4 linked regions of the Drosophila melanogaster genome follow. The protein of the gene in region 1 interacts with the protein of each later gene in a pairwise test. Each region holds a gene or a part of one and is shown on either strand. Other genes may lie near its edges. The genes, in order: Ibf2, mRpL51, trsn and CG4622.

Region 1 (7,526 bases):
AAGTACTCCAAAATCGAGAGTTTGAGGTAAGTGAAAGTATCTGCGGTAGAGCTCTGTAATATATTTATATGATCTTTGCCTACCCAGGATTGCCATCAACTACATTAATCACCTGCAGGCCATGCTGCGGGAGAGCTCCGTGGGTCAAAATGGCAATGGATGCTGTGCCTGGAGCGGCGGAAGTAGTTCACCTTATGATAATGGCAACGATCATTGGGGAGCGTAACTTGAATTAACGAATATCAAAGGGAATTCATTTAAATATTCAATTTAAAACTTGTGTTATATTATATCCGCAATTTGCCAAAGTCATTCCATGAACCTATAAAAGTTAAGGTCCATACTTTACGATTTTGAGAAGAAAAAAATTGAAATAGCTTTCATTTTATATTAGTTTATCATGTTAACCTTTTTATAAGTGCAATAATTAAATAAATTATCAAGAATACCACGTATGATTTCAATTATCATTTGCCCCAAAAACTAGATAACAAAACCAGGCGCAACTTTGTCTTTTTAGGCTATATATATTTAACTTTACTTTTCAACACTTCACATTTTGATAATTTACATATGATGAATCGTTTGAAGAACTGACTGACTTGGCGAGTATGTTGTGCATATTCGTATATATATATAAACCTAAAAAGTACAACAAAACAGGAAAATGTAACAAATTTCTATGGAATTGTTGCGACGCCCGCAACTGCATTGAAAACTGAAAAGTTTTTTAATACTTATTTATAGATAATAAAACCAACTACTGCGACAGCTGTCCGCACACACACAAACACACAATTTATCCGCTGTTGGATTGAAGTAGAAGTTGGCAAATTTCAACTTAAAAGGGGGACGAAATAACAAAGCGTAACGCAAGCTCCTCTCGCTCCTCCTGCTCCTCTCGCTTCTCAACTCCTCCTGCTCCTCCTTAGTTGTCCTTCTTGATGCGGGTAGAGGTCATGCGGTAAATGATGGAGTCCCTGCCGGGATCCATGGCAGCGATGGCGTAGCAGATAGCCAGCAGAGACAGTCCGAAGACGACCATGAACCACAGGATGATGTTGAAGATCACCGGGTAGTCGCTGCCGTAGTAGACGGCCAGGTTGTAGGGATTGGTGGTGGAAGCGGCAATGGTATCACGCTTGGCACGCGATGCTGCCACGTCCTTCTCCGTGGTCTGGACAAACAGAACCGAGTCGCTGGACTTCTGGGAGGCAGCAAGCAGGCGGCTGATAGCGGCCGACAGCAATTTGTTGGCCTCCTCCACGGCCACGGACTTCTCGCCATGAGCCTTGGCCACTCCATCGACGGAAACGCGCAGCATCAGGACATTCGAGGGCTTGGCCATCTCAGCCAGATGATCGGCGGCACTGTTGATGAATCCAACCTCCTGGAGGAACTGCTTGTCAGCGGTGTGCAGAGAGGGGTTCAGGTGCTTGGTGGGCTTGGCGGCTGGGGCCTCGAAATCACCAAAGCAGGACTTCCAGGCTTGAACCTATAAAAAATATGTGGTTAAATATACATTGGTCTCTACGTTATATGCGTAAGGGGGAAGGCACTATGATTCACTCTATAAATCATGTGATTAATTAATTTTTAAGGTTTAATAACTATCTATCATATTTGTGGGAAGTTATAGCGGATTGTAGAGAAGCTTCTTTAAACGAACTTTCAGATGAAGATCATGCTTTCTGCGGTTTGACAAATTAGCTAACTGACTAACGAAATGTGCTTTTCCCCTTTAAGACACCACTTACGCCATCGTCGAACTGCTCAAAGTTAATATCGCAGACGGGCTCGTTGGCTGCCTCCAGTTCGGCGGCCAGGGCGTTCAGAGAGGCGTCCGTTCCGGAGCCTGTCAGCTCGTAGGTCTTGACGTTGCCGGCGGTGGTCACGTGACCAATGCCCTGGACATGCACCAGAATGACGCCCTTGGCCAGGTTGAAGGGATCGTTGATGGTCAGTCCGTTCCAGTTGGTATCGCCGCTGACGGCGTTGCCCATGGAAGCGTAGAGTACATCACCCACGTAGTGGCTTTCCAGTGCATCGTTGCCCTTGAAACTGATTGCCTTGGGACGGTTCAGCACGGTGAATTCGCCAGAGGCATTGACTGCAAAATAGGAAGACGTAGCTCATAAGTTCTGTAGAATCTAACATATTCGTCTCCTTTGTCCAAGATTCTGCGCATGCATGTGGGGAGCCCTTTGGAGTCCCGAGTTCTGGGTGTCACCACCCCCAAAGAGGAATCGATGAGTACAGAATATCCACTTTGTGACCGCTTTCCACTTGCTGCGCATGCATTTTACTTGATTATAGATGGTAGATCTACTTACTGGCCGCTATAAACAGCGAGAAAATCACGAAAACTCTCAACATTTTCAGTTTTCCGCTGGACTTTTAATCATATGACGAACGACTGCAAAGAAAACCTTTTCTCTTCCCCGATATCACCCTGACTATCATGTGATGAACAGGGTTGCTTGGGGTCAGTTATCGAATGGGTATCAGTAGGGTTGTCGAAGAGTGCGAACTATCGATTGTACTAGTATTTCTAGTTTTATTTATTATGTATTTTTATTTATTCAATAATTTTGATGTATGTAATATTTATGTATGTAAGCATTAGATTACATCGATTTTAATAACACTTGTAAGCATTGCATTATTACATTATTATTTAATAAAAAGATTCGAGTAATCAGGCTTAAAATAATGTATTTTGTAATCACCTTTACAAAGTTAAATGTAATAAATCTATGTTGAATTCAAGACAGACATTTTCGTCATCTTAACAAAAATTAAGGGTTCACCATGCGGACATTTAAAAGTTATCTATAGTTAAAATACATTTTAATCGCGTAGGGCGTCGATTTCCAATCGAAGCTTCTGAATCTTAAGCAAAGTCAGTGTGCGCTCTACTTTTAGATTGTCCGTTTCCGTTTTAAGAAACTTGGTCTTACTCTGGAACTGACTGATCTCGGCTCGCGCCTTTTCCGCTCGCAATGCAGCTAAACCATTTCTTGGCCTGGCCTCGATGATCGTCGCCGATCCATTGGCTAAGTCATCCGGGTTTTGCTGCAATATGTAATGCTGTTCGATAATCGTTAAAATGTCTAAGATACTTATCAAATTGTGAATATTTACTTCTTTGCTTTCGTCCAGGTACTCAGAGTATTCGGGATTTTTAATTTCAACGTTGGAAATTTCAAATTCCAAATTTTGCTCGCCAGACTCTTCCGTTTTGGTCAGTTTCCTTTTGCGAATTTCTCGTTTCACTCTGGGTTGCTCCTTGGGCGCCTCAGCCTCGTCAGCATCGTCCAGAATTTGTTGTATCTGGAATGAAAAATAACCATAATGTAAGTATTTGATTTAGTTTACGCATTTTTCACCTACTCACCTTAACAATGATCTCCTTGCCTTCGTTGGCATTATCCAGGCCGCCATCATCGTCGCCCGAAATCTTCTGGATCTGCATAAAAAATATATTTTAGAGCATTAGCGATATATAAGTAACATTTAATTTACATATGAATGTTCATATGAGACGATATGGGTTAGTAATTTCAAAAGTCAAATCATTAAGCACTATATATTGTATTCGGACAAAGTTCGAACCGAATATTTGTCAAATTACTTGGGGTTGACATTATAGTGTGCAAAGTATCTTTGGGATTTATTTTGAAGTGCATTTGTCCACTGACGTCCTACACCAGACATATACATACATCCAATGTATCCAAATTGGAAGCATCGAATTACCTTTATCCTAGGAGCCTCGTCATGATCCTTCTCGTCGGCAGAAGTGTACACTACAGCGCTTCTACTTCGCCGGGCATCGCAGGTTTGCCTACAATTTAATGAGAATTACTTGACGCATGTAAACACAATGTTTGGTGTATGTTTGTATGGTTACCTGTGTAACGATAGCCGGGATAGCGCCGTATTTTGGAGTACTTTTTCGCAGAAGTGACAGGTGGCCGAGTATTTGCCATTCTCCAAATTGGCGGTAAATCCGTGGGTTCTGTAAAAATCCTCGGACTTCTTTCGGGGCATTTTAAAATACAACAATCGCAGTAAATTCCAATGTACTATACACGATGCAAATAAAAATGGCTTCACTACAGATGCATGTAAAATCCACGCTTGCATACGATAGACATGTATCGACATATCGATAAAACCATTTTGATATTGATCAGTTCGATGCGTTTCTTTTAGTCAAAACGATATTTAATAAAGATCAGAAATAATTTTATATGTATATAACGGGTGAAGTAGTAAACTTTTAAAAGGATTTGCTTCTTAATTTTACTTATATGTATTTGTAATATATGAACGCCCTTCAATATAGTCTATTTTTTAAAGGTTCCACGCATATATTTTCAGATACATTCATGGTACTATTTACTGCCCGATTAATTAATCGTTAAATATACAAAGCTAAATATTAAACTTATTCTTTTCAAAAATTTGTTATTTATGACCCAGACAAAGTCATTTTTTACAATTCAGTCATTTCACAGATGATTCAAAAGTAAAAATATAATTAATATTCAAATGCAAGCGACCATCGATAGAATTCGATGGCATGTTATCGATACATCGGTTGAATTTACAGCAGCAACACTGTCACGTAATTTAACACAAACCGTATGTAAAAATGTCGCAAGCAAAAAAGGCCAAGCGACCCTCGGGCCTTTCGAAGGATGAAACTTGGAAGAAACTGGGCTTTCTACCCGCGTTCAAGGGCGGCAAGGATGGGGAGCCGAAGAAGTACCGAGCGCTGTGCACCCACTGTCGGAAATGCCAATCAAACACCAGCATAGACAGGCTGATTATCCATAGGTATGTATTATAATTTTTCCCGCTCATTTGCAAGTACAGTCCGTAAAATGTATGTATGTGGATACAGGAAGTCATGTCTCAAGTTCCGGGAGGATCTAACCGCTGAATTCGGTATTAAGGTGGAGGCTACGGACGCCGCTCCGGCAGAACAGAGCTCTTCCGGCTCCACAATTGACTTCACTTCGAATATTCTACTGGACAAACTGATCGACGAGGATGATAGCAGTGCACGCAATCAGGAATCCAACTTGGTGAGCTACTTGACCGATCTGGATCAACTGGTGATCCCGTCATCCGACGCCAATCGACTGCAGAAGGATCTGATCAAGGCGGAAACGGAGTATCTGGTGGTCAAATCCGAGTACTTTACCAAGATGAACGAGATATCCGAACTGAAACGCACCGTCACCTTGTTGGAGGCGAAAAAGACACAGCTGGAGATCGCCAAACTGCGTGCTGAATGCGAGTAGCCTAAGCTTTTTAAGTACACTACATTTTAAATTTCTTGAGAATATACAAATTTATTTAGATAATGAATAATAGTGATGCGGGGAGTTCGATTGAACAATTTATAAAGATGCCCGTCTACGTCGGCCTGCTGATTAAGACTACGGCCCAACTGTTGTCGCATCCCATGGAGCTAGTTCGTGTGAATATGCAGGCGAACGTAATCCACCATAGCCGTTTAAGCATAAACCATATGTTCCGGCTGATGGCCCGTCATGGATTACCCGGATTTTATTACGGCATTGTGGCTGCTTGTCTACGCTGTACTGTTCACACGATGTCAACGTACACGTTGTTCTACAACTTACAGGATAACAAGTACGTCCTAATGCTGCAGCCGTATAACACTAGCATGGTCCTGGGTATAACCGGATTTTGGGGCGGCGTATTGGCAACACCGTTCGCCAAGCTGGCGGTCATTCGGCAAGCTGATCTTACGCGCGGATCCTACGAGAGGCGCAAGTAAGAATATGGCCGAATAAACATAAATAGGCATTTTCCGGTTTAATTTTGAAACCAGCAAATATCTATATGTGTATCGTTTAATCTTCCAAAGCTATGAAAGTTAACCCTTTTTTGTAGCTATCGAAATTTCTGGAGAGGACTCAAATGTATGTACGCGAAGGGAGGATTTACTTACCTATTTACCGGTTGGAAAATAAACTCGATTAGTAGCACAGCCGTGGCCGTGCTGTATACTCCTATTAGTGATAAGGTCCATACAGTGATATCATGGTTCCACAGACTCGACGAGCCGTGGCTTAGCGATCTCATAACTATGGCGCTAACAGGCAGTATTATCACAGTCATTATGACACCAGTGGATGCGTTGGCTACTCTAACGTTAAACGAATCCTCACACTATGGCCGCACTTCCTATCCATATCTGTATCGGAAAATTATCCGAAAACATGGCTACAAGGGCTTCTTTTTTGGATGGAAACCGGCACTAATGGCCCTTATCCCACATACTGTTTTGGCAACGTTTGTATATCGCTTCTTACTAGATCGCTATATAACATAAAGACCCCCATATTTATTCACAAATCTTGTGGTGCACAATTGACAGAGCCTCCTTGAATTCTGATAGTTGGGCGGGCATTGTTTCGGTTATCCCGTTTTCCAGTTGGAAGCTAAAGACTTCGATGAACCGCGAAACGAGCTGGGAAAAAATTGATCTGTTAGATGTAACCAGAAATATATATAGACATAATAACATACTTTTAGAACTGGAGGTGCCTTCTCGTGGGCCACCAAACATTCCATTAACACAGCCACAAACTTCCCGTAAAACTCCGGCAGGTGCGGATGCAAAGCTTGCAGAGGAATAGGCATGATGCAAACCAGATAGCATCTTAGCAGTTGATCCAGTAAAGCAGTGCATACCTCGACACCTTGGAGCAGCTTGCTCGACTCCAGGACAAGCATTTGTAGGATGGCCTTGGCCCAACGATAGCTGGTGCTAACATTTAGAGCAAGGCATACGTCCCGACACGCTACCAATTTATCTGGTTCGCATATATCCATGGCCAAAGCAGTTTTCACATCGCTGCGATTGATGGTGAAGTAGTATCCTAATCGGATGATATACTGCAGCAGGCAGATTAAAACTTTTGGGCTGGAGGCCATTGTCACGTTCTGAATGAGGCGTTCCAGCATGTCGTCGCATTGGTTCCACTAAAGTTGCCATCATATTTATGTTCAGTAACTAGAGTAAGTTTCAAGGTACACACCGTGAAAGCATCTAGATCTACAAAGTGATCAAGACAGAAATACAGGCAGTTCCAAACAGATTCGATGGCTTCAATTGAGTCCATGTTGTAGACATCCTTGAGGGCATGGTCATAGATCACACTGTGCACGTTCAGTTCCTGAATGTCCTTGGAGTCCTGAAGGATGAAGTGTTTCATTGAAGGTCTTGGCGCTAAAGTGGTCTAACACGTACGCTAAATTTTAACATCACTGAGAAGATCTTGACCCCAAGTTGCTTGTAGATAGTATCATAGCATTCGCGCACATTAAGACCCACGGATAGTGCAAAAGCCAACATTTGGGTGGACATTGCGGATTTCTTTCCGTAACGAAGCTGCGGGATAAAGTAAGTGAACAAACTGGACTATCTGGATAAATATTTGTCTGTTAGTGTATACCTCTAGATATCTGCCGAAACCATG
Region 2 (7,702 bases), on another chromosome or scaffold:
CTATTTGTCTGAGCCCACTAAATCACTTACTTATCGCAGGACGAAAGACGCAGATTGGCAGGTCCTGACCCTCCATCTGGATCACCTGCTCGGCCAGTGCCTTGGTATAGGTATAGGTGTTCGGAAACTTTCCCATAAGAGCCGGAGCCATCTTGTCCAACAAATCTGGGCTCAAAGTCTCGTTGAATTCGAGCACCTTGGCCGCCGGGCACGTTAGGTGCTCCGGATAGAAACGCTCCTCAATGTGCTGCGAGGGGCAGTTGGAGAAGGCCGTGGAGATGTGCACGAAGGCTTCCAAGCCTTTCATCTCCTTGGCCAGCTGAATCATCAGGCGCGTTGCACGCGTATTAATGTTCAAAGCCCTTTGAAGCGGCTCCACGAAGCGAATGGAGGCGGCACTGTGGATGATCACCTGCACATCAGCGGTCACCATCCTGCGATCCCCGTCGCTGAGACCCAGACCGGGTTCGCTGCAGTCTCCCGAAATGGGTGTGACCAACTTCAGAGCCTCCGGTTTAGCCTTGAGTAGGATTTTAAAAACCTGAAAAATATCAGCATTCAACCCGAATTAAAATCATACGAATATGGAAGTCACTATAGGATGGGCACCCACATCCTTATCATCATCTTCTTGGACTCACCGGCTCATCTTTCCAGGCCTGAAACCGTCCTTCCACCGTTTCATTCTTTTTTGGCCTTACTAATAGATAAACTCGCCTTACATCCGTTGAACGGAGGAGCTTTTCAATGATCACTGAAATTTGAATTTTAACATATTTTAGTTTTGAATTTATTATCTAGAGATATATGAACTTCTTATATAGCTTTACCTTTTCCTAGAAATCCTGTGCCTCCGGTTACAAAAACCGATTTGTCTTTGTAAAATTGCAATATGTCTGTCTGCATTTTGGATTAAAATGATATTGGTTCTGTCGGCTCGCCTACACCAATGAGCAGTGCTTTCACTATTTATTCCATTTATAATCGAATGCTAATGATCTTTTTGTGTCCACCAATGGTCTACAATTATTCAATCCATTTTGTATTTGATTACTTAATTCAAATACGAAGGTGGAAAACTGGTGGAACCGATCAGTTCGAAAGCATATTGTAAAGGTTAGTTTTCTTGAATGGAATTGAATTAAAAGGACATATAGAAAAAGTTTAATCTGACTTCCTGATTTTCCGAAGTAGTCTTATGATAGCATTATGTATTATGGGTCCTACAAGGAGTTTAAGCCGTTTTAAAAATAGTTAATTTTGTTATCCCTGCACCAATAATTATAGACTTCATATTCATAGTTTTACCCGTACGAAGACATGTATCTAAGGATATGCAAAGCATTTGTGTCCGTACTTTTCCATTTTTATAGGCACCCATTAGAGCCCGGAAGACATATGATTCCATTAAATTTATCAATATATTCAACGAAAGAAGACAGAATTGAATTATTCATTTTATTACACCAGCCTGGTATTTATGATAACAAGACATACGTAAGAGCTTAGGTAAAAAAAACCAAAAAACCAATGCATTGCAGGAGAAACAATGAATAAATCTACATATATAGTGGAACGTATATGTTTTGTCGGATTAGTATATGGGAAAACTGGGGTCTACACTGTTCGTCCAGGCATGCAGTCCGCCAATCAGGTCTCGAACGAAATGCGTGGGGAATCGGTTGCGCAAATGCTGAACGGCGATCTGCGAATCATTACCCCGACGGCAGACCAGTACGATGGGCAGTTCCTTGTCCTCCAATTGCTTGCCAAGCCGCTTAAGATAGCTGTCGTCGAGGATCTCTACCAGTGGCACATTCACAGCCTCGGGCAGCTGGCAAATCTCGAATTCTGCAGTTGGCCGCACATCGATAAGCAAATGTGGTTGAGCCTGGATCTTCTGTTGGTAGTCCTCCACGGACAAACGCTCATCCGTCGACAAAAGTAGCATGGGATTGTTCTTGTCGGTTGCATGCATACCGCAGAACATTTCGTAGTTGATTAGCTCCGTGATCAGCGGCTGAGCGGAACACATATGGCAGTTGGGTCGCTTGCTGCGTATGCGAATATTGCGAAACACGCCGCTACCGCCATCGAAGATTAGAAGGCGTCCGGCGAGGACATCTCCCATTCCCACAATCACCTTGATGGCCTCCAGAGCCTGCATTGCGCCAATTGTACCGGTGACAGCACCCAGGACTCCGCCATCTCCGCAATTGGTGACTGCTTCTGGCGGTGGAGGAACTGGGAAGATACACCTGTAGCAGGGCCCGTTGGCATAGTTGTATACAGTCAGCTGACCATCCATCTTTAGGGCACTCCCGGAGACAAGGGGTTTGCTCAGCATGACGCAGGCATCGCTGAGTAGATAACGGGTGGGCACATTATCGGTGCAGTCCAAAACCACGTCGTAGCCTCGGATGATGTGCATGGCGTTATGAGGGTACAGCATCCTGGAATGGCACTGAATCTCGCAGTGCGGATTCAGTTCGAGCAGTGCTATCCTCGCCGATTCAGCCTTGGACATACCACAACGGTCCTCGGAGTGCAGAATCTGGCGGTGAAAGTTGCTCCGCTCCACCTCGTCGTAGTCGACAAGCCCCAAGTGTCCGCATCCGGCTGCCGCCAAGTATTGCGCCGCCGGACATCCCAATCCGCCTAGGCCCACAATCAGGACAGAGCTGTTTTTCAGCTTTAATTGTCCCTGGACGCCGAAGTCGGGCAGTATAAGCTGGCGGCTGTAACGCGCAATATCGTCGTTGGTCAACTTCGTGTGGACTGCAACATCAGGCGATTCCAGATCATTTCCGACGACCTCCTGCTCTGGCCTTGTGGCGAAGGAAAACAAGGAATCCAATTCTCGCAGACACTGCTCCTTCTGGTTGAGCGCTGCGCGCAGCTCGGCGATCTCGCGCTTTAGCATGGTTCGCTCAGAATCTACCTCGGATTCCATCATTGTGCTGCTGGGGATGAATGTCCAATAAACAATTTCAAACAAATGCCTCTGACTGCAATCAGCTGATGAATGTCGATTACACTTACCGGCACTTTCGATTGCCCACTGATTCGATTACTTGTACACAGAGCAATACCTATAAAAAATTGTTTTACACCCCAAATTTATGAAGTGACACATATATAAAATTTCGGATACTTTTTACCGTAGCTACCAATTTGTATTCTCATATTCCTTGTACTAATTAGCTACAACAAATCACTACATTTTCCAACACTGCCGGCTTGCCAGCAAAAACAGATGTTCTGTTCGTGTTTTTTCACCCATTTCCAGGCACTGTTTACAATTATCTAATCGTTAATTAAAACATAGCCATGTCTTGGCTGGGAAGTATGATTCAAAAACTTGGCAGAGCCACGCTCCTTGCTGTGGGCGGAAAACCCTTGGCTCCGATGGCATCAACCAGCTACACCGTGCGGCAGTTATCCCATGCCGAGCGACGAGCACGCGGTCCCACTGTGCGGCGCTATGGATATGAGGACAAGATCTTCAAGAGCGGACTACTCCCCCATGTGGACAATGGACAGAAACTGCCGATGCCGGTGTATCGCCCAAAGAACGCCTGGTCAAAGAAACGTGCGTTGTTTGGCCAGAACGACTACATCGACATCCTGGGCAACGATCGTCTGCATCCAGTCAAGGTGCTCTACTCCCTGCCATCCTGGCTGCGTGGCGTCTCCGGCAATGAGTACCAGGTGCTTCTCCGCAAACGTAAGCTGCTCGAGAAGTCCAAGTATCCCATCGCCCGACCCACCAAGTGGCGGGAAATGGAGAAACGCATCCTCTACTTGTACAAGTTCCTCAACCGCAAGACGAAGACGGGCTATTCACATCAGTAAAAAACCATTACAATCAAATAAAATATTTTGTTTAATCTGATATTGTTCGGAGTTAACTTATCTTAAGAGTATGCTCGGCTGCCATTAGGAAGCGCATTCTGCATCTGTACAAAGTTCCTGGATTCTGTCCGTCATACTGATACTGTTAATGCTTACTTTAAGACTATCCTCGCTTCCTCGCCATCGATCAGAATCTTCTGACCATTGAACAAGCAGAACTCACGTTTAACGTGCGCGAACAGCAGATCGGTGATTAGAAATATCTGCCCAGTGGAAAACGCAAGAGTGGCACCGAAATAGAAATTGGCATTTGCCGATCCTGCATAGATCCACAAATGCCAAAGGGCTCCCATCATAGATAGAGTGACCAGGAAGAACGTAAAGACCACAAAGCCATGGGCCATGACTGAAAGAAATTACCAAAGTGCTTAGCAGTTGAAATAACTACGTGAGCCAGATAACTTACATTTCCAACATCTTTTCCACAGCGGAAGCAAGGCCAGATAAAAGCCGACATCGCCCAGGCTGGGATACGCCCTAAAAACGGCCATAAGGGCCACCAATACCGTGGCTAGCAGTAGGGGCTCCTTGCGCAGCTTAATACTTAGTGGCACCAGGTATAATACGGTGGCATTCAATTGGAATGTGATTAGGAACATGGTGCGGAAGTGCTCAAACATTTCAGTAAAAAAGTACCAGAAGAGACCGATATTTGGCTGTAGATCGCGGAAATAAAATCTGTAAGATAGTTAAATACGTAAAAATACAAACAGATAACTAATAAGATAGTTCTTGCTTACATAAAACCCAACGTTCCATCCAGGAAGTTCCAGCTGTTCAGCACAAAATAGTTCGCAACTGCCACGATTAGACAACTGACGATAAAGAGCGCCGCTATAGCCACACCCCTCCTGACCGAATTCCGTGAAAAGACCAGGAGCAGTGGTGCTATAAGTACAATGGGATAGAAGCTGCGGACAGTTTCGAACGCGAGGACTAGAAGGCATGGAATGAGCATTCCCTTCACGAGGCAGTAGAAAAAGAAAGCCAGGAACAGATTGCTTATCACGGTGGAGGTCATTCCAATGCAGCTCATAACAGTCAGTGGACTGAAAAGATATGCCACGATCACAAGTTCCGGAATGTCAAGCTTGTCCAGCGGGCCAAACTGCAGCTCTTCCGTATCCTTGGCATACTCCTTTCGCTCCTTGTCCTGCTGATCCTGCTTTTGCTTGACGAATCTCAGACTCATCGCATAAAGCAGGGCCGCCGTGCAGATATCCAGGATTATGTAGAATATCGGCAGAAACTGCGGGTATTTTTGAAACAATCCGGAGAGCGCGCTGAGTATCAGCGGCGATTCGTGTACCAGGTCGCCCAGATAGGGATCAATGCCACTCTGTAGAAGAAATATCCCCTCTTGCACTGCAAGAATAACTCCATTCAGACTTGTTCATCTATTTGATGTCTACTTTGTTTACTTACTGCGCTTGTGTGAATTTAAAGGTGTCGCGAACTCCACTCGGTTGCCAATCATCGGAGCCAGCGGCGTGCGACAGAAGTAGAAGCGCACGGCGCCGCCCAGCAGGAGCAGTTTAAAGAACTTCGAATCCATCTTCTAGTTGGGCATAGTTTTTGTGAACGGACTCCGCCTGTAAAAAGCCGCCTACAGCTGGCTTGGTGGTGGCAAAGGCCTTCGATAAATTATCGATTTCCTTGTCACGATATACGGCTTCTGGTCTACTGTGTAAGCAATTATGATTTTTTTTAGAGCTTTGTTTTCTTCAAGTTAAATATATTTATTATTTTTGGAATAACAAATTTTGGCTCAAAACAGGATTCCAACTCGCATAAAGTTTTTAAGCTTGGAAAAACTTGTACTTGTATCACGCGCTCATCTCTATGTATCTGTTCCATCTCTCACCAACTGGTTGTTGTTTTTGGACCCGCTCTTGCGCTCGAATTGTTGGAATATATATTTCATTTAATTAAGCACAGAAAGCAGTAGTAAAAATGATTGGAAGTAAAAAATCCAAGGAGGCGAATGTCTTCAAGGAAATCGCAGAGAACTTCGAGCAGCTGACCAAGAATCCAGAGCGTTTTCTCCAGTTTGTTTTCCTTCCAAAGACCGCGCACGTGTTTTTTCAAACGTAGTCAAAACAATTTATATTTCAGGCCACAGCCGGAACAAGTGAATGCCATCGAGCAGCTTATCCAGCAGACATACGCCGTTAGCATCAGCGAGGATGTGGCGAACAAGAAGGAACTGCTGCCGGAATTGGTGCTGGAGCAAATGGACGAGGAGCAGATCTGGCAGCAACTGGAGATTCGCAACGAACTAGTGTTCCAACAGGTGCTGGAGCAAACCGCCAGGCTGACGGCGATGCGCGAGCAGCACCTGGGCATTGAACTGGACGATGGTGAAGAAATAGAGGAAGAAGACGAAGTAATACAAGCTGAAGACTCAGGCGATGAGGAACAAGATGAGGAATCAGACTTCAGCGACGAGGATGGAGGGCTACAAAAGCAGAAGACCGCGCCGCCGAAAGACAAACGAAACAAGCGACTACGCAACTCTGTGGTGGACGATACCTTCTTCAAGTTGGAAGAGATGAATGAGTTCCTGGAGCAGGAGGATGCCAAGGAGATGCGCCGCCTGAACAGCAAGAAACGCGTTGAGCAGGCCGATGATATAGATCATTTCGCAGAGGATTTTGGTCTTGGCGAAGATGAGGAGGACGATGAGGAGGGGAATGTCAACTATGCGGACTTCTTTGACATGAATGAGGAACTGACAGAGCATTCTAAAAAGATTAACAAAGGCAAGCAGAAAGATTTCTTCAATGAAAACGAGAGTGAAAATGAAAATGAACCGGATGAGGATGCAAATCCCAAAGAGGGCGATTCTGATCAAAGCGAAGGAGACGAGGGCGATGATGAACCTGAAAATGATCAAGATCCAGATGAGGCGGCCAGCGAAATAGATGAATCCGAATTCGTGGCAAAAAGTGGCATAGAACCTGCCAGCGATTCAGACTCGGATTCGGAGAAAGAAGAGGAGGAGCCACAACCCACAGAGCCACCGTCCCAATCATCCAATGAGATGAGAGAGGCTCGTTTGTTTCAACGCATCCGCGACTACGAAGACATTGTCCTAGGCGAGAAGCCTTGGCAGCTCAAAGGCGAAGTAAAGGCAGCCAATCGGCCCCAGAACTCACTGCTTGAGGAGATTCTCGACTTCGATTCGACCACCAGGCCAACGGCGCCAATCACGGAAGAGGATAACCGCTCCATCGAGGACATAATTAAGCAGCGTATTCGCGACAAAGCATGGGACGATGTGGAGCGCACTGTGCGACCGGTGAACACCCCGCAAGAGTACAGAAAACAACTTGTGCTTGACCAGGAGAAATCAAAACAATCGCTGTCGCAGATCTACGAGGCGCAGTATCAGCGCGAAATGGAAAAACTCGATCCCAATCGCGATGCCGATGACAAAACTGGTCCGGAACCGAAAGAACACCAAGAAATCAAGCGGGCAATGCGTTCCCTATTCCTTAAATTGGACGCCCTCTCCAATTTCCACTTCACGCCGAAACCGGTGGCGCCGGAGATCAAGATCGTAACGAACACACCAGCAGTTCACATGGAAGAGGTGGCCCCGCTGGCGGTGAGCGATGCCAAGCTGCTGGCACCCGAGGAGGTGTTCCGCGGACCCAAGCACGCTCCACTTGGCAAGACCGAACGCGATCGAACGGATAAGAACCGCGAGCGCCGCAAAAAGAAGCAAAAGCAGCGGGCCATCCACTCGGCTCTGGAGCAGCGCGAGCTTCAGCGAGCCAAGGAG
Region 3 (7,853 bases), on another chromosome or scaffold:
GATACTGCGCCAACAGACACCCCATCGTCGCATCAAGGAGGAAAACGATGTCGAAATCGCTGGGGGCGACATAACACCCACTAAAATTCTGGAGAACCTCTTGCGAAAGCAGCAAGAGCGCGACCTCCGCCACTCTGAGTGTGAGAACGAACCGGGCTATTCGACCGAGGACGACGAAGAGGGTCGCTATCATGCCTTCGATGACATACACCTGATGGAGCAAAGCGGTGGCAAGTTCGGCAACAACTCCGGCATGGGCATGTTCAATGCCAATGCCCATGGAGGATCGGCCAGCTCGATTCTAGATGCCCATCAGGCCTTCCGCAACCTGGAGTTTACACTCAGCGATTATGGCGGCAGCAGCAGCAATGGCAGCACCACCAGTCCCAATGGCATCGGCCTGGATGGCGAACCCGTATACGAGTGCCGTCACTGCGGCAAGAAGTATCGCTGGAAGTCCACACTCCGGCGCCACGAGAATGTCGAGTGTGGCGGCAAGGAGCCATCGCATCAGTGTCCCTACTGCCCCTACAAGTCGAAACAGCGCGGCAATCTCGGTGTCCATGTGAGGAAGCACCACACCGATCTGCCCCAGCTGCCCAGCAAGAGGAGATCGAAGTACTCGATGAATCGCGAAAACGGGATGAGCGGCTCCATGTCCGATGACTCGCAGGGCAAGCTGATCATCGACTTCAATGGGAAGGGAGAGCTTGAAACCAAATAAATTTGTACGGGGACCGAGTGATGCTTCCATTTGATATACAATATATTTTACGTCTGGTGTCTTGTTTTGTCCATTGGATTTGTGGAAATTTATTTCTTGTCATTCATGTGTCATCCCAAATATTTAATGTTTACTTGTAGTAATTTATGTAATGTAAGCAAATGCAAGCCAATCTAATCAAGCATATAATCAAATTAGTCTTAAAGCCTTTTTTCTAACGATGCATTTATGCGTTAAAGCATCAGTTAATATCTCTTAAATTGTATAAAATGATCATTCACCAAATGTCAATTTTATACTTACGATTAAGTGTGCAAAATATTATCAAACAACACTCAAATATTTTCTAAGGTCTCTACTATTTAAGATATCACGATGTTGTCCAGAAAAAAAGTATTTAGAAAGGGTTCGCCTCGCCGTGTGCGTATTTCCAAAAAGTTCCCAGCATCTTGCCCAGAAACCCTCTGCCATCCAACGATCTCTTGACTTGGCTTGATTAAGCTACTAAGACCAAAACTTTTGGTAACTACTCGATAAGCTCAATCGATGCCATTTACAATGATATACATTATGACTGAATTAGTTAAGAGAATTGCATTGAACTGACAACTGAACAAACCATTAATTAACCAATTGAAAACCAACTATTCCTCGCCCTGAAGACATTCGTTTCATATATTTATGGACTTTAAGACTGAGTTTATTGTATCTTAAAAATTATTAACCCATGACCAAAAAAAAAACAAAAAAATTGGAACATTGTACGATTCCCAAACCAAAAACCAAACACTTATTATGCCTAAATGTTTTAACTGATATTAATGTTTGTATCTTACCATTAAGCTTGTGTGCCGTCACATTGAATCGCCCGATATTTTATGATTGTATACTTAATAAGATTATAATTCCTAACTGCATATCACGTGGTCTTCACCGATCGACGAAGACACGATTACGAACTGTGGGCAGTGTGACTGCTAAAATAAGACATGATTTTATAATGAACTTTTCATATACAATGTTTACATTTTAAATAAAACGCAGATATCTTTTAATTTTTAAAAATACGTGTGTATAGTTTATTATTAGGCGCAAGAGACTTTGTACTATGATTATTGAGTCGAACTGCGTTAACAAATACTTTTGAAATTTGATTCTGATACCAGGAGATTGCAATATGACTGTGGAGTGATTCATTTACATATTAAAAAGCTAACACCGTTGAAAATTTAAGAAAAATGCACCAGTCGCGAAATTTATGATCATCCACTGTTGGCTGTAGTGTGTGTGTGTGTGTGTGCAAGACTGTGGAGATGCATTCCCATGGAGCGGTTGCATTGAATCATTCTTTCAATACGAGCAGCCAATGGCCACGGTGAGGAAGTCCTCGAACCCAATGGTGATGGTTCCATTCTGCTGGGTGTCGCGCTGCCTGAAGGCCTCCGTGAAACGCTGCACCTGCACGCAGAGCACTATGAACTGATCCACGGACACCTCTTTGTGGCCCTGGGGGTCGCTCTTCTTCACCAGGAAGTTTATGAATTCGGGCGAGAATCGAAAGCCCATCTGGGTGAAGGCTGCCAACAAGTTTGGTAATTAGTGTAAAAGGCCATAAAGGAATTGGAGATTCAGTTGTTGTGTTAGCTTACCTTGGGTCAGCTCCTGTTCCTCGATATGTCCAGAGGAGTCCTGATCGTAGGTCTTGAAGACTTGCTGCAACAGTGATACAATGAGTCAGACTACTTAGTTTCGATATAAGAAATACCTTACCAGCCATTGGTTGATGTAGTTGTAGAGCTTCTCGAACTCATAGATATCGATGGTACCACTGGCGTCGTTGTCGAACATGCCTGTTGAGTAAATTAAAAAAGGCGATAAAAATACAACATAAATCGCAGGGTAAACAAACGGAAAAGTGTCTGGCGCTCCAGGTGATCTAAACAAATATGCATGTACCCTAAATTGGGGCAATAAATACAGTGAAACATTTATAGCCGAAAGTATAACTAAATTGATACTGACTGTCTGTTAGGGGAGTACTGACGTCACAGTTTCCGGAAGGGGAATCGAAGGAATTTTAAAGTATTTCATAACTGAAGCTTACTTAGCTATCATCAGCTCACAGGATGATCTAAATATATGTGCCCATGTGCCCTTCATTGGTTCTTGGCATACAGCGGGTGTGCTAGGCTACGCATAGAAGATTCAAATCGACAACCTGTTCTTGTGTTCTTGTGTTACTATATTGCCTACCAAACTAGTTTAGCTTATGATCGTCTTTTAGAGGGTCTACTGTATAGTATACAGTGTATACACGTTTGTTAGTGTTCACCTACTGACGTCACAGTTCCTGTAGAGGAAACTTTGGGATCTTTTTTGGGCAGGGCTTAAGCTTACTTATCATCAGCTTGCAGGCATTATCCGAGAAGTGATCGCCACGCCCATTCACCAGGGCCGCCTGCAACTCGGAAGCGTTTATCTTTCCAGATCGGTCGCGGTCCACCATGGAGAACCATTGCTGTGCCTGCGGAGACACCTGGGCATTCTGCGGCGGAAATGCTCCTGGCGGCGGGGCATAGCCACCACCGGGCTGGGCATACGGGTTATAGCCTTGTCCCTGTGGATAAACGGTAGTAAGTACATTTAATCCACTTTCTTAAGCATAAACACACTCACATAAGACATTTTGTCACGAGCCTAGTTCGATTCTAATTGGAACTTGAGGGACAAAACAATTTTAATGAAACTACAGATGACAAGAAGGGCGTTCACCAACACTGGTTTGGGCAAGCGATAACAATGTGACATATCGATAGCATTGCTAGACTTATTGCTTGGCTATACTCCCATCCCTATCGCCGGTATAAACAACTAACAAAAGCAGCAAAACATTAAGCAAAAATGTCGAACTTCGTGAACTTGGACATCTTCTCCAACTACCAAAAGTACATAGACAATGAACAGGAAGTCAGGGAGGTGAGTTGACGGTTAATATCCTAAAAACCACCATCTTAAACCATTGTTTTTAGAACATCCGCATTGTGGTGCGCGAAATCGAGCATTTGTCAAAGGAAGCGCAGATTAAACTGCAGATTATTCATAGCGATTTGAGCCAGAGTAAGTTCTGTACAATTTGGTAGCTTGTATGTTTTGTTCTAATATGACATTATACTTGAACAATAGTTAGTGCCGCCTGCGGCTTAGCCCGCAAACAGGTTGAGCTGTGTGCCCAAAAGTACCAGAAATTGGCCGAACTGGTGCCAGCTGGGCAGTACTACAGGTGAGTCAGATGGTGAAATCCGTGGTGTCTATTGTGGGTGTCGAATGCTCCGCCTTCTCCAGATACTCCGATCACTGGACCTTCATTACGCAGCGTTTGATCTTCATCATTGCCTTGGTTATTTACCTGGAGGCGGGCTTCTTGGTCACCCGCGAAACAGTGGCCGAAATGCTGGGATGTAAGCTAGATTTGGAAGGCTCTCTGGATACGAAATAATAGTTAATTACTCCACAGTGAAGATCAGCCAGTCTGAGGGCTTCCATCTGGATGTGGAGGACTATCTACTGGGCATACTGCAGTTGGCGTCGGAGCTCTCCCGATTCGCTACCAATTCCGTCACCATGGGCGACTACGAGCGTCCCCTGAATATCTCCCATTTTATTGGTGACCTGAACACGGGCTTCCGTCTGCTGAACCTGAAGAACGATGGCTTGCGAAAGCGCTTCGATGCCTTAAAGTATGATGTCAAGAAGATCGAGGAGGTCGTCTACGATGTCAGCATACGCGGTCTGTCCAGCAAGGAAAAGGACCAGCAGGAGGAGCCGGCTGTTCCTGCAACCGAATAGTTTACTTCGTACGTAGGATAAGGCGTTTATTAAAATGAAAAAGTTTCATTTAAACAAGCAAATATATTACATTCATTAAACAGAGTATCATTTTATTTTACTATTTAAATCAGGAATGCTCGTAGGAATCAAATGTAGCAGGATATATGTATGTAATCCTGTGTTAAAAATCTGAAATGTGTTTTTGTTTTTTTTCAGAACACATTTCTTTACATCTTAATAGGCACCATCTTATTTTAATGATCAGTTTACACAGAAGCGAAATAGTGCTTTGAACCATAACAAAAAAACATAAGTTTGTGCAACTTAAAGGTAATTAAAATGGCTGTGCGCGTTTTGATTAAATCATAACTAAGTATACATAGAGACAAGTGCAGAAGTTTGATGGCTTAACCCTTTTGAAACTTGTTTAGCCACCACCACTGGGCCGCAGTTGTTGTTGTTGCCCCGATCATATGGTGGATTTGTTGCTGCTCTTCTTTGGCCGCTGCTTCCGTTTCGCCTTTGCTTCTGCTTCTCAGGCGCAGTTTCAGTCTCTCTTTTGCCACCGCAACGCTTACAACGTTAACATTGCGCGCGCGTCTTTGCATTTTCTTGTTTGCTGCTTCGTCGTCCGTCGTCCTTCCCGTGTTGTTCTTATTGTTTTTTCCCGCTTTGTGCGCTCTTTATTGTTTCGCCCTTTCTAGCATTTTGATTTGAAAGTGGAGACTGCAATTGGTTACCATTTCAAGAAAGTAAGTCTGGCGGGCAGTTGGCCGTGTGAAAAGTCCGTTGGCCCAGAAACTCACCCGCTCTCTTGACCACGCCCCCTTTTCCGTCCCCGGCCCGAAAAAAAAGCTAAAAACTGAGAGACTCCAACCTGTTTGGCAATAATTGGGTCACAAATCTGGTAAAAACTTGTTGCCCGAAATGGTCACTAAACAAATAGCACTGTTTTTATTACAAAACTTTAGTTGAGTCTGCAGTTGCCTTGTTGTTGTTTGTTTGTTTTAATTTTTTTATTTCGTTCCGCAGACATAGTTGTTGTTTGGTGTTTTTCAAAACACGCTTTAATCGAAGCGGTTCAAAGTCCGAAACAAGTTTCCTGAGAGGCTTAACGGGGCACGCTCTCTCCTTGTTGCTCTTTCCCCTCTTCTTACAACGCACTGAGTGGGAGGAGAGCGAGAAATACTGAGAGAGCTTTCGACGTAAACATCTGAAAAGCAAAACCACAACAGACACCCACACACTGACGGGCAGGTGTTGCTCTCTGCGTCTCTCTTTCTTCCTACCCCCATTCCAACTTTCTTGCATTCTCATTTCGAAGGGAAAATGCCAAGGAAAAGCCCAGCCGCAAACCAACAACAAAAAGTCAATATAATAAACCCAGAATCCGAGTGCTAACTGTTATGGAAAGTAGCGAAACCATTAGCTATGGACCTCCTTCATTGAGTGTTTTGCTTGCATACCCGGCAATTAAAGACTTGCAGGGTATGTGTATTTTCAATACATCAAAAAACAAAAAATAATATATAGAATATATTTTAGTATCGAAAAAGATTTAAAAAAAATTGAAAAATTTTAAAATACGCCCTAATATTAGTTGTATTCCTCAAAGTCATATTTTTTTGAGTATCGTCTACTGTAAGTATTCAATTAGTAGTGGGTATGTCTTGAGACAAAATCATTTTAGTAAGTTTGCTTGTTTATTTCGCATGGTAATTACACGTTTATAGAACTATTAACCTGCATTGAATATGGTTGTCAAATAAAAATATTAGGTATACCTTGTTATGACCGCTTTTAACGACCACACTCAACCAATAGTGTGTTACGTTTTTAAGTGTCGCAGTACTTCAGAAATGTTCACAGCACTTTTAGTTCAATAACTCATGTGAATCCATGTAATAGTGGATATCTTGTAGTCGAGTATCTCAAAGATACCCCGCTCGCTTTATCAATTTTCGTTGCGCTGGCCGCGGCAGCTGTGAATGATTTGCAAGGGGTCCCAGCGCAACTGGTTCCCAGCGCCTTTGTGCTGCCCCTCGGAACCCGACCCTCCAGAGCCACCAATACCTCGATCGTACCGCTCTCGTTAGACATGCGTGGCTGGCTGCCTCTGTCGTTCGCAGTCGCCGCACATTTCAAGTTTGCTACGGTTCAAAGTCCAAACCCAAGATACAAATACCAGCACCAGCAGCACCATTTCGTTTTCATCGCAGTGGTTATTTTAAATCGAAATTCTCCAATCTGGGCACACTTTCGATGGGGGGGGGGGGGGGGTTACGAAGATCCCGGTCGTGCGATAAGCAGACGACATTTATGCCAGGTAGACACTTCCAACGCGTCACCGATTGCACTAGGTTATTCTGACAGCAATCACCTCTTATCGGAACCGCGTGCTCGAGCAATCCTTATCAGACCACCGAAATTGCGTACCACTGGAGTTCTCACAGGCCCCCCGCCACTGCGATTATTGGACTTTCAACAATAAATAGTGAGCGATAGGTTTTATCGCCTCCCTCAATTGTTGCTTATCCCCGCCACCTCATTGGCCCGTTTTCGGTTATAGAATCAGATCGTACATATGTACATACATATATTTAAGACTTGTTTTTCAGCTGGTTTATCAAGTAAGCTGGCTAACCATAGTGATGTAACAGCGATAAGAACAGGTGTGGAGAGCCCATCTTCAGATCTCAAGTTGCTTACCTAAACCGCATGCCGATAAAGTGCCATCTGCGCAGAGGTCAGAGTCCACTTGCCGAATTTTAAAGCCTAATCTTTATGATATGAACTCTGATATTACCAAATCGCGCCGTCTGCAATCTCGAATATGAGTTATTTATGTTTTGTTTTTTTTTTTATAGCACAGCGAAAGATATATGGGATAAGCACCAAATACAATCTTATTTTATCATGCCCTTTAGACTTGAAAGGAATCTTATCAACTTACAGCTGTGTATGTAGATTTAAAATACTAAGTGAAATCTAAGTGAATTGTTACCCCTGTTTATTGTCATTATGTATTGAGCGAGGCAAACTAGAATGCTAAGTATATTATAGTATATGTGTTCATAGGCTCTCCACCTTAGTTTTGACAAGAAATATAAACGACTTTACATAATTGTAATATATATCTTTCGAATCTTGATAAGCCGACTGATAGGCGACCTAGATTCTTAGAAATTTGTCTAGCCACGTCGAAAAAGTTGAATTTTAAAAAACGCATTATCGAGGCTAACTGCGCATACCCCTCAAACGATGAGTACACCCATCTTATATACACACTTGTAGGTGTTTA
Region 4 (9,648 bases), on another chromosome or scaffold:
CCGTTGAGTGGTTCAAGGTGGGTGGAATTCGATTTTCGGACGATTCCCTCTCTTACCCTTTGCATTTCGCAGATCTACAAGATCCCCGATGGCAAGCCTGAGAATCAGTTTGCTTTCAACGGCGATGCCAAGAATGCGGACTTTGCCAACACCATCATTGCCGAGACCCACAAGTTCTGGCAGAACTTGGTGCACCAGAGCCCCGCATCCGGGTCCATCTCCACGTGGGTTAAATGCCATTTTATACATTTACAATTAATCCTAAGTACGTCCGTTTCGCAGCACCAACATCACCAACCGCAACTCGGAGCACGTCATTCCCAAGGAGGAGGCCGAGAAGATACTGGCCGAGGCCCCCGATGGCGGCCAGGTCGAGGAGGTGTCTGATACAGGTAAGGTTCACTATATTAGATCGAACTTATAGCTGCTTCACCCGATCCCAACCAAAAACACACTACTCCAACACACGCTTTAACCACCAGTAACTTGCAAACAAATTGGTTACACAAACACAACCTGCACGCTTACTAATAGCTACTTTAATTGTCCAGTTAGCAAGCTAAATTGAGATTACTCCATGCTGTAAATACTGCTGAAACCCAATTTATGTAATTGGCTTGCTTGCGTTCGTTAATCGTTGTACATATACTTTATACTGAATGTTATCCTGAAATAAACCCTTTTTATACCAATTTACGTCCTTTGTAATTGCAGTCGACACTTGGCATTTCATTCATCTCAAGTGAGATGTTCTCCTGGGCTGATTCCATCACAAGATCCATGATCTATCTGTAGTCCAATCGAATCGAAAATGCTTGCACTTGTGAATTATTAATACTGAAATATTATCGTACGTTGAATAAAGTTTTGCACCGCAATCAAATTCGCTGTCGATTCCTCTTGAAATATACAATCTTTATTTATATTTTACGACTAGATCCAAACAAGTTTAAATTAATTAAAAGTTATGTAATTGTAAGGCATTGCAATACTACATAGAATCGAATCGAATTATGCCGTGTGGTGTTGCTCAGATGTGATTTCCGTTCTATTGCAGGAGAGCATGTGTGGGAAGGTGTGGAACGTAAAATTTATTGCCGTAACAAATTAACTTAAGCTTACGAAATAAAAGAAATGTACAAATCAGTTAGGCGTTATAAATATGTATAGAAATCTTTAAAAGAAGACAAAAATAGTTATATACATCAGACATTTTGATTCTTGTTCGTTTGTTCGTTCGTTTTTTTGTTTGCTTGTTTTTTTTTTGTTTGTTTCTTCTCATATTTGATTCTTGGCATAACTTTTTGCTTTCCTTCTGCGCGAAGAACTAAAAGAAATAAGCATAATTTACGTAATTCACTACAACTAAAAGCTCCACGAGACTGTTTCATGACAGATGATAGAAATAACATATAGACCAATTTAGACTTTCCGATATAAGTGCGGATAAGTAGCGTGTAATAGTTTAGTAATTGTCTTCATAATTTTTTTTTCAACATTTTTGCTCTGCTTTCTCTTGTAGCTAGATGTTAGCTTAGTTGTTTCTTCAAGTGGTACACATTCCTCGGGTCGATCGTTTCCTGGTTGCCATAGTTTCGTGCCGTGTTCTGCCACAGTTATCAATAATAATAGTTTTAGTTAATAGTTCATAGAATTAAGTAGCTGCTCGTGCCAGTGACGGTGCCAGAAAATCCCAGAGAATCGCACTTTACTTGCGACCCAGGGTATCGCGCCATTCGTTATACTTGTCCATCTCCTCGTGCAGCTGAAGAGCCTCTATGCAGGCGTTGAAGAAGGGCGATCCGAAGCATTCTTGCCTGTGTTCAAAAACAAAAGGAGGAGGAGGAATTAGGAAACCTGATTTTTTTTAATTTGGTGTATAGCTTGCTCAGAAGAAAAAAGAGCCAAAGTTCAAAAGCCATATTCAGGTATGGTTGAATATATCACAAAAATTATTGTTCTCAAAATCTTGTTCTGTTTGTTTGCTCAAAAAATACGAGCTCAACAGTTCGAGGATTATTGAGGAATTTAACAAAAAGTAAAGCATAGTTGGTCAAATTTTTAGCTTGAGTGCTAGTTAAAAGCCAAGAATGCACAAGGTCAAAAATCAAATAATTAATTAAAAACAAAAGAAAATTATAACGTACCAAAACAAAAACGGTAAGCAGGCGTTTTTAGTCGCGCCAGAAACGCGCGCAAATCGCCAGCTGCAGTCTGTCTGTCTCTGTCGCCTTCTGTATGGCGGTCTCTTTCTCTGGCGGTGTCCTGCGTCGCGCATTCGCATTCTAATTCTCATTTATCACAATTTTGATGCTCTCAAATAGCCAGCGAATGATTGATTATCCTTTATTAATTTACAGGGTTTTATTAATTATGTATTATTTATTGCCACATTTGTAATGCAGTCGTTCCGTTCTTCGCGTGTTTTTACCAGGTTTTTGTTTGTGTCTTGCACAAATTGCGATCTTGCGTTTCTCTCTAATATTTAGCATGTGTGTAGGGTACTCGTATTCGGATATATGTAAGGCTTTAGCTTTAGATAGGTATGCATATACTATATACTATATAGGTAAATACATATCTCCGTTTTGCGCCAACAGATTTACACTAATTCAGGGTTTCATCTTTACAAAATAGCACAAAATTGTAAGTGTAATACATTTGCAAAATACTTTCGGTCTCGATTGCGGTGTATATATGTGTGTGTGTGAGTGTGTGTGTATGTGTGTATGTGTGTATGTGTGTGTTCGTATGGGTTTATCTTTATCATTGTAGTTTTGCCCTTGCGGAAAATCGTGTAAAATGTAAACTCTAAATGCTGATTTTACAGTAGAATACAGATACAAAAATAAAAGTTATCATTTTACATTACATAGATTAAAAACAATGGATTTCGTTTTGTTTATTTTATATACAAACCGCATAACGCAATAATAATAAAACAAGCTAAGAATACTTAAAAATAAATACTTCGGCTTCTATGTATATGTGGGGAGTGCGAGATCTGCGATCCTCCTCCTGCACATCATCATCATCATCATCTGATCATCATCATCGCCCATCTCCCACTCCCCAATTATGTTACTTACAACAAACGCATAACGTTCTCAATAAATTAATAAAAATAATTCGTTTTTAAAAAAACACATATAGTAAAAACTGTAAGGCATACAGTAATAAATAAGTACGAATTAAATTTGGGCGTTTTAATATTTTAGATTTCTGTGTTCTGGCTCTGCATGTGTGGTCGTAGTGGGACTGTTTCTCGATCTGGATCTGGATCTATATCTGGATGCGGATGCTCGTTCCAACCCACGATATTCGCACCGATTCTCAGCTGTGTGTGGTGTGTGTTGTTTGTTGTGTGCTGTATGGTGTATGGTGTGTTGGGGCTGTGGGTGTGTGGGGCGGGGACTTAGAGTTATGTTTGCGGCCCCATGTTGAAGGATATGGGCGAGCCGTTCACTACTCTCAGAAAGTGCTGTAGGTTGGATATTTCCTCTTCGGGTATTAACAGCACTTTCAGGCATTCGCCAAACCATTTTGAATCAAAGCAGTCTTTCCTAAAATTGAAAACGAAAATCAAAATGAAACACAACGGTAAAGGTAACTGAAGGCAGTAAGAAATCAGGAAAATGAAGTCGTTGCGGAAACGAAAGCGGAAACGGAAGTGGAAACGAAAGTGGTCGAAGTTAGGAGTCTAGTGGTAGATGGGCTTGTGAAACGGATAGGGTGATCCGTTGATCACTTTCAGATAGTGCTGCAGCTGCGATATCTCTTCATCGTCGATCAGCAGCACCTTTAGGCAATCCCCGAAGGTCTCGTGGACGAAACAATTGGCCCTGCATCGAATAGACAAGAAACACAGATGTAGGACTCGCACAGAGGGAAGTCAAACGAAAAGGTGATAAACTTATTACTACAATATTTAAGTGACTATAGGGTGAAACAAAAAGAGAGAGAGAGAGATATAGACCAAATGGAAGAAACCAAATAGGCAGCGGTCTCTGTGCGAGAAAGTCGAGGAGAAAGTAGCGGGGAAAGCGGGCCCATAAAGTTCAGAAACAACCGAAGGTCCCGCGATCATTTTCCGATACCCCGACAATTGTATTTGTGTCAGGGTCTGCCAGCACTTAAGATCATAATTAGTGTTTCTTGGACGGCCTTGCCTTGAACGCTGTAAGGAACACTGATGCTGCTTTGTGGTTTTGTTAGATATTTGTATGTATGTATGTGTACGTATGGCTGGGGCTGTGGGACCCTAGGGAAACTTACTTGCATAATCGGTGTATACTCGTCTCGCGGAACAACTGGTAGCAGTCCTCGCAGATGCGGTCCAGTCGGAAGAACATGGTCTTGTTGAAGATGCCCTTGCACTCCAGGTCGAAGAAGTTGCTGCGCTTCGACAGATTGTGGTTGTGTGGCAAGGCGGCGAAGATTGGTATCAGGACAAGAAACAGCACCACCGAGATCTTTATGTTGCGGGAACACATCTGCAAAAGTGTGGGAAACCGGAAACACGGTTAAGAATAGATGCCTATTTATAGGTGCGATCAGATTAATTAACTGCCCGGACCACCTCTCTGGCCAAGCAGATGTGGGCCAACCCAGCACGATGTCGGCCCAGCTCCACGCCGCCGCCAAAGGACAGGGGCAAGGGCAGCTCTCGCCCAGGTGGCATCGATCTGCTGCTCGATCCGCATCGCGGATGGGCAGGAGGACGGCGGAGACCCTATAAATAGACCTCGTCCGACAGCCGTCTACCGACTGGCTAAAAATAGGGCCCCCATCCCCATCCCCATGTCCATGCCCATGCCATTCTCCACCCAAAGGTGCAATTGCAATAGTGGCAACAGTTGCAGTCGGTGCCGCAGACGATCTTATCGCAGGAGCGCTCTATAAATAGCACCGGCGATTTCAATGTTTATTGCATTATTTGCCATCTGTCGGCGGGCTTAATTTATGATGTAAGTCCGCCCCGCCCCGCCCTCGTCTTTGGCGGCTCAAAGGAGAGCCAATTTGCGAACGGACGCAGACGCGGACGGGCCCCCAAAACATGGGCATTTGTTTACTTTGCATATTTTATCAATTTGCGCGCCCGCCGGGAATTACAGCGATGACAGCGATATATATATGAATATATATATATATATATCTATGCACTCGCATTTGTGGCATTCCGAACTATTGAATAATTTGATTAACAGCGCGCTTTTCGCAAATTTTTCCACTGCGCGCTGTGCCAATTGGCCGTTTGTGTGAACATGTGTGAAATTCCTTCGACCCCGGGTGAAAAATTGAAATGCTGAATGAAAACCAGGCAGACACGACGACGTCGGCTATTTCGAGAGCAATTTCGAGAGTATCAGCAACATGAAAGCGAATTTGTGCCGATAATGATTTAAACACATATAATCGCTAACGAATATACTCGTATTGTTTTAGCGAACGACTCTGAGGATCTGCGCAAATTGATTTTTTATTGCCGTGCTGATGTCTTCAATTAAGTTGAGCACATTTTTTCGCAGATTTATGGCCGCGAGATGGGAAAACACCGAAATGGAAATGGGTATGGGAAGGGGAATGGGGCATTTGGGGGGACTGCCAATTGGAATCGGAATTCTGAGAAAGTTCATCAGTCGGTCGCCGAAATATTCATATATTTATATGAATACTATGAATACTATTCGCGATAAGTGAGGCTTCTCGCTTAAAAGTATGCTCCACCAAGGGGTCTTTATTTGATATATTTTTGGTTGATGATATCAAGGGCTCGCTCATGTGTCGTCATACTTAATTACTGCGGTCTCGTGTGACAAAACAAATGTTTTTAAGCAATCACATATTTTTGTAGTGAATATAAATAACTCATCCCAGGCCATCGGTCGTCATTGTTTAGTACTTAGTGTCGAAAGTATATATAAATCAAGAGTAATACATCCATCTGTCGTCATAGTCAATTGCTCGCTGTACTATCGCCAACTATTGTAACATTATGACTTCAACTTGCTGGAAGGTAGAATAAGCTCCAGACAAATGAACCCTACTATCCCTACCTGCGAGTGGTGGGCACAAAGAGTGCAAGTTGTGGTCGGGTGGGGAACCCTTTGCACTCAATGCACATGTAGCACTCGTTTAGTCAGAGATCCCGACGACGTTTCAGTGCAAAGTGCAACAGCTTGCGTACGGCGACTCAGCTCGGCTCGATTTCCCCGATGGATTCGGATTCGGATTCGGATTTGGATTTGGCTGCTGGCTGTGGGCTGAGCATCTGGTGATAATTGGCTTCGAGTTGCACGATTTATGGCATCATCGTCGCTGCAGGCGGCTATTTTTAACGCTCTTTGCCGGCGTGAGTGCCATAATTGATATGCGAACCGCGTTGAAGATAATGTAACATGGACCGCGAAAAGGGGCTTCAGTATCGCAGAAGAAGGCGAGGGAAAGTTGGAGGAGCGGTTGAATGGATGATCCGGGGCGACTGGGCCGATCGATCGAATGGCGTCATCGTCGCAGGAAGGAGCCAATGAACGGCGTCATATTTGATCGATCTCCGATCTGAAGTGCTGCTCATATAGCTGCTCCTCCGATCCGGCGACATGTGCTGGCAATTTGTTTGCATTTCACTTTGATTAGCTGCCAATTGATTTTATTTGTCGGCCGGCGCTTTGCATCAATTTCAATTCGAGTCGCAAGCGCGTCGCACATACTCGTACAAGCCATCCCATTATTTGACTATCTATGTGTCCGTGTGCTCCATATGCTATATACGCTATATACACCCCTGATTCATTGGAGCGGGGCGCACGCACGCCCCTCGATTCCCAATTGGCATCTCGCTAATGCTGTTGTTGATTGCCGCTTGATTGTACACCATTCAACTGAGATTTGATTGCTGTTTTCGCCGATGTTTTACTGTCGCGCTGCTGCCAGGCGACATTGAATGAAGTCATGAGCCAAAAATAATTATGCCAATTATGACGGACAGACGGACGATGCCTTCTTTTTGCGCAATAGTTTATAATTATTGTGGCCGCTGCGGAATTCGGATGGCGCGGCATATGGTCTATATGGTTTATAGCGAAAGGGCACACTGCGATTCTTGAGTTTATTATGTGATATTATGAGGTACGTGTATGCGTGCTAAGCCGCATTTCAAGGTCGACCCCTTTGGGCGGATTTCCATCCACAATGGGAAACGAGCTATTAATAGAAAAGGCGCTCTTATCAGTTCCCCGTAAAATCGCCGCGGTATGTTGGAAGTGTTATCGTCGAAATCCCCATGCATTATGTGGATTATAAAGTTGCCTACAAAGCTGTGCATTCCCCGCCAGATATGCCCGACTGGGATGTGTGGCACCACCACCTCCATCTGCACTAGTGCCACTGGTGCCTCCACTGTGAGTCTTAACGCTTGGCTACGCAAGCATGGCGGAGCCGAGAGCCCAAACATGAAACACAGGCCCCTCGCTATTTTTTACGGCGCAACTAAAAAGTGCTTGGACACGCAAAAACAACACCACTGGCGGCAGAAGAACGCCGAGGAGCGTGTATAAACTAAACACTCATGACGAGACTGCTTGGTACCAGCCACTACATCTGAGCACTCGTATATGTACGCATGCTGAACTGGCTGGCACATCGGTGCTGTGTCTGCGCGGATCTCCAAGCGCTGCTGCTGCTAATTCGATGGACATGCAGGAGTCCCAGTCCCGGGCCCAATTTGCATGATGTTTGTATTCGATTAATATTCATGTATTCATGAAATCTGCACCGAATCTGCGAAACAGGAAAGGCGCAGTGGAAAACCGAGACCGCGTCTTGGTGGCCGGTTGAAGCCAGTGTGCACTGAAGAAAACGCTTCCTAAATCTTCCGCAGACACAAATCGCACGTCATCCAAATAAATCTTCGCTGCATCACATGACTGCTATTTCACTTAGCTTAGATAGAAAAAGAAAAACAATACGCGTATCTTGCCTTTCCATGATTATGCATTTACCAGAAATATTACCAGATTATTAGTTTATTGATGTTATTCAACTATCTAAATTTGAGGAAATAAGTTTAAAAAACTTTGCGTTGCACCCCCAAAATCCCTTCTTTTCCAAAACGATTTCCCCTTCGCGCAACTTTACGTTCTCCCCACTCACAGTGAATGCTGCCATTGCAGCGATTCTATGGCTTCCGTCCGCGGGCCGACCGGCGCGGGATGAGGAGGGCATGGCTCAGAGATCGGAGCCAAGTGATCTGAATAAGTGTGTGGATATCCAATTGATATTATTGAGGTTAATGGCGAATGGCCGATCCGTTTCGCAACAGATCTCGGCGTCTGCCAAAAGGCAATTGGCCGCACTTGGCGCACTTGGCCCGCTTGCCGCGCGTTTTTCTTAAGACTGGGGCAAACAATCGCGGTGTTTGGACAGCGATGACACAAGCGAGTCGTCAAACAGCACGAGATACTCCAACCGTGGAGCCAAAGCGAAATAAAGGGTGGAACACGAAACGGGAGCGACGCGCGAGCAATCAACTTTTGTTGGCAGCTCCAAAACAAAACTGAAGACCGCGCGCGATCTGTTGGCTGTTGGGGCTGACTACTTCGGCTACTACCGCTTGGCTTATCAGGCGGCCCACACAGATACTCACGCACACAGCCGGGCACAGCCGACGACAGCGAGTCTGGCGAAAAGGTATCTGTATCTGGCTAGCGCTCGAGTATCTGTATCCGAGAGATCGCAGCGTTGAGAGCGCGAGTGGAACACCCAGGCGTATACGTGATGTGCATGCTTAACACGCGGCCAAGACAGCAAAAGCCGTTAAGAAAAAATCAGTGGAGAGCGGCACTTGTCCTGGCACGCCGATGGAATATCTAATCGCCATTACTAAACTAGTTTGGCCCCGCCTCACCCAGGTTGCGCCTTTCCACGCCACCACCCCCCCCCCCCCTGAATTAATCAGCCATAAAAACGAGTGGCTGCAACTAAATTTTCCACCTTGCAGTGGAATTTTCTCAGCCGATTCTATCTGGCTAAAAAGAGTTCAGCCACAAGTGACTAAGCGGCCGAGTTAATTGTCATAAGTGAAGTAATTTCCGCAAGTTCTTTGAATAAATTGGCCCGCCGAGTTGTTTTGTTGTTTTTATGGCGCCTTATAATCTCGATTGTTAAGGCATCTTGAGGAATTCGTTGCATACATTTGGGGGTTTCCTGGGGAGTTGTAATCGCTATTGCCTAATTAGCCAGTTTAGCTAACTAGTATTGACACATAAGCTATAACTACTGGTATTTTATTAATTGCAATTTCTGTAAAATCACAAACTTACACCTGTTTATATTCCGAGTGACAGCCGCAGCTGCATTTTGTTTACGGGAGAGATGTGTATTAAGCTAATTTCAGTGCTATAAAATAGAGAATAACCCTATAAAAGTATATAGAAATATATATTAGTTAGTTAGGCGTTAGTTTCTTCTATTTTTAAATTGATTACACCCCCCCCCCCCAATAATTGTTCATAGCTTCCATGTATGTATATGACTATTTCTATATCATAGTGTAATTATATCGCAAGTTTTTTTTTATTAAAAAGATTAAAATTCCTAGTTCTTGTGCCAGACTCATGCACTACTTAATAAGTTGTTCCCAGGGAATGG

Evidence for each region.
Region 2: the proteins of Ibf2 (region 1) and mRpL51 interact in a two-hybrid assay, tested with the Drosophila melanogaster proteins (one large-scale study listed by BioGRID).
Region 3: the proteins of Ibf2 (region 1) and trsn interact in a two-hybrid assay, tested with the Drosophila melanogaster proteins (one large-scale study listed by BioGRID).
Region 4: the proteins of Ibf2 (region 1) and CG4622 interact in a two-hybrid assay, tested with the Drosophila melanogaster proteins (one large-scale study listed by BioGRID).

What each region holds. Positions count from the first base shown.
Region 1 is NT_033777.3:9,255,575-9,263,100, reverse strand, and holds Ibf2 (insulator binding factor 2), read left to right. Parts: upstream 1-4,599; 5' UTR 4,600-4,660; coding exon 4,661-4,845; intron 4,846-4,912; coding exon 4,913-5,315; 3' UTR 5,316-5,374; downstream 5,375-7,526. Other genes in the region: sage (salivary gland-expressed bHLH), read left to right, coding at 1-26, 88-226; ATP6AP2 (ATPase H+ transporting accessory protein 2), read right to left, coding at 929-1,495, 1,758-2,110, 2,334-2,376; Ibf1 (insulator binding factor 1), read right to left, coding at 2,851-3,090, 3,145-3,333, 3,398-3,469, 3,760-3,847, 3,914-4,053; CG16736 (uncharacterized protein), read left to right, coding at 5,423-5,814, 5,935-6,376; CG16734 (uncharacterized protein), read right to left, coding at 6,389-6,514, 6,574-7,029, 7,086-7,241, 7,298-7,438, 7,503-7,526.
Region 2 is NT_033779.5:8,512,921-8,520,622, reverse strand, and holds mRpL51 (mitochondrial ribosomal protein L51), read left to right. Parts: upstream 1-3,242; 5' UTR 3,243-3,330; coding exon 3,331-3,855; 3' UTR 3,856-3,870; downstream 3,871-7,702. Other genes in the region: Sgp (sgroppino), read right to left, coding at 31-541, 642-754, 831-906; Uba4 (Ubiquitin-like activating enzyme 4), read right to left, coding at 1,595-2,956; PIG-U (phosphatidylinositol glycan anchor biosynthesis class U), read right to left, coding at 4,008-4,261, 4,322-4,593, 4,656-5,280, 5,341-5,470; CG13097 (uncharacterized protein), read left to right, coding at 5,869-5,963, 6,031-7,702.
Region 3 is NT_033778.4:10,475,811-10,483,663, reverse strand, and holds trsn (translin), read left to right. Parts: upstream 1-3,552; 5' UTR 3,553-3,625; coding exon 3,626-3,700; intron 3,701-3,753; coding exon 3,754-3,841; intron 3,842-3,907; coding exon 3,908-4,004; intron 4,005-4,066; coding exon 4,067-4,182; intron 4,183-4,238; coding exon 4,239-4,570; 3' UTR 4,571-4,653; downstream 4,654-7,853. Other genes in the region: Pef (peflin), read right to left, coding at 2,075-2,301, 2,374-2,437, 2,495-2,574, 3,122-3,341, 3,401-3,409.
Region 4 is NT_033778.4:24,550,199-24,559,846, reverse strand, and holds the start of CG4622 (uncharacterized protein), read left to right. Parts: upstream 1-3,563; 5' UTR 3,564-3,700; coding exon of another isoform or gene 3,701-3,842; 5' UTR 3,843-3,904; intron 3,905-4,275; coding exon of another isoform or gene 4,276-4,493; intron 4,494-9,648. Other genes in the region: Nurf-38 (nucleosome remodeling factor - 38kD), read left to right, coding at 1-17, 73-224, 283-392, 715-746; ITP (Ion transport peptide), read right to left, coding at 3,701-3,842, 4,276-4,493. UniProt on the Drosophila melanogaster protein: Scaffolding subunit of the trimeric nuclear exosome targeting (NEXT) complex, a complex that directs a subset of non-coding short-lived RNAs for exosomal degradation. The RNA exosome is fundamental for the degradation of RNA in eukaryotic nuclei.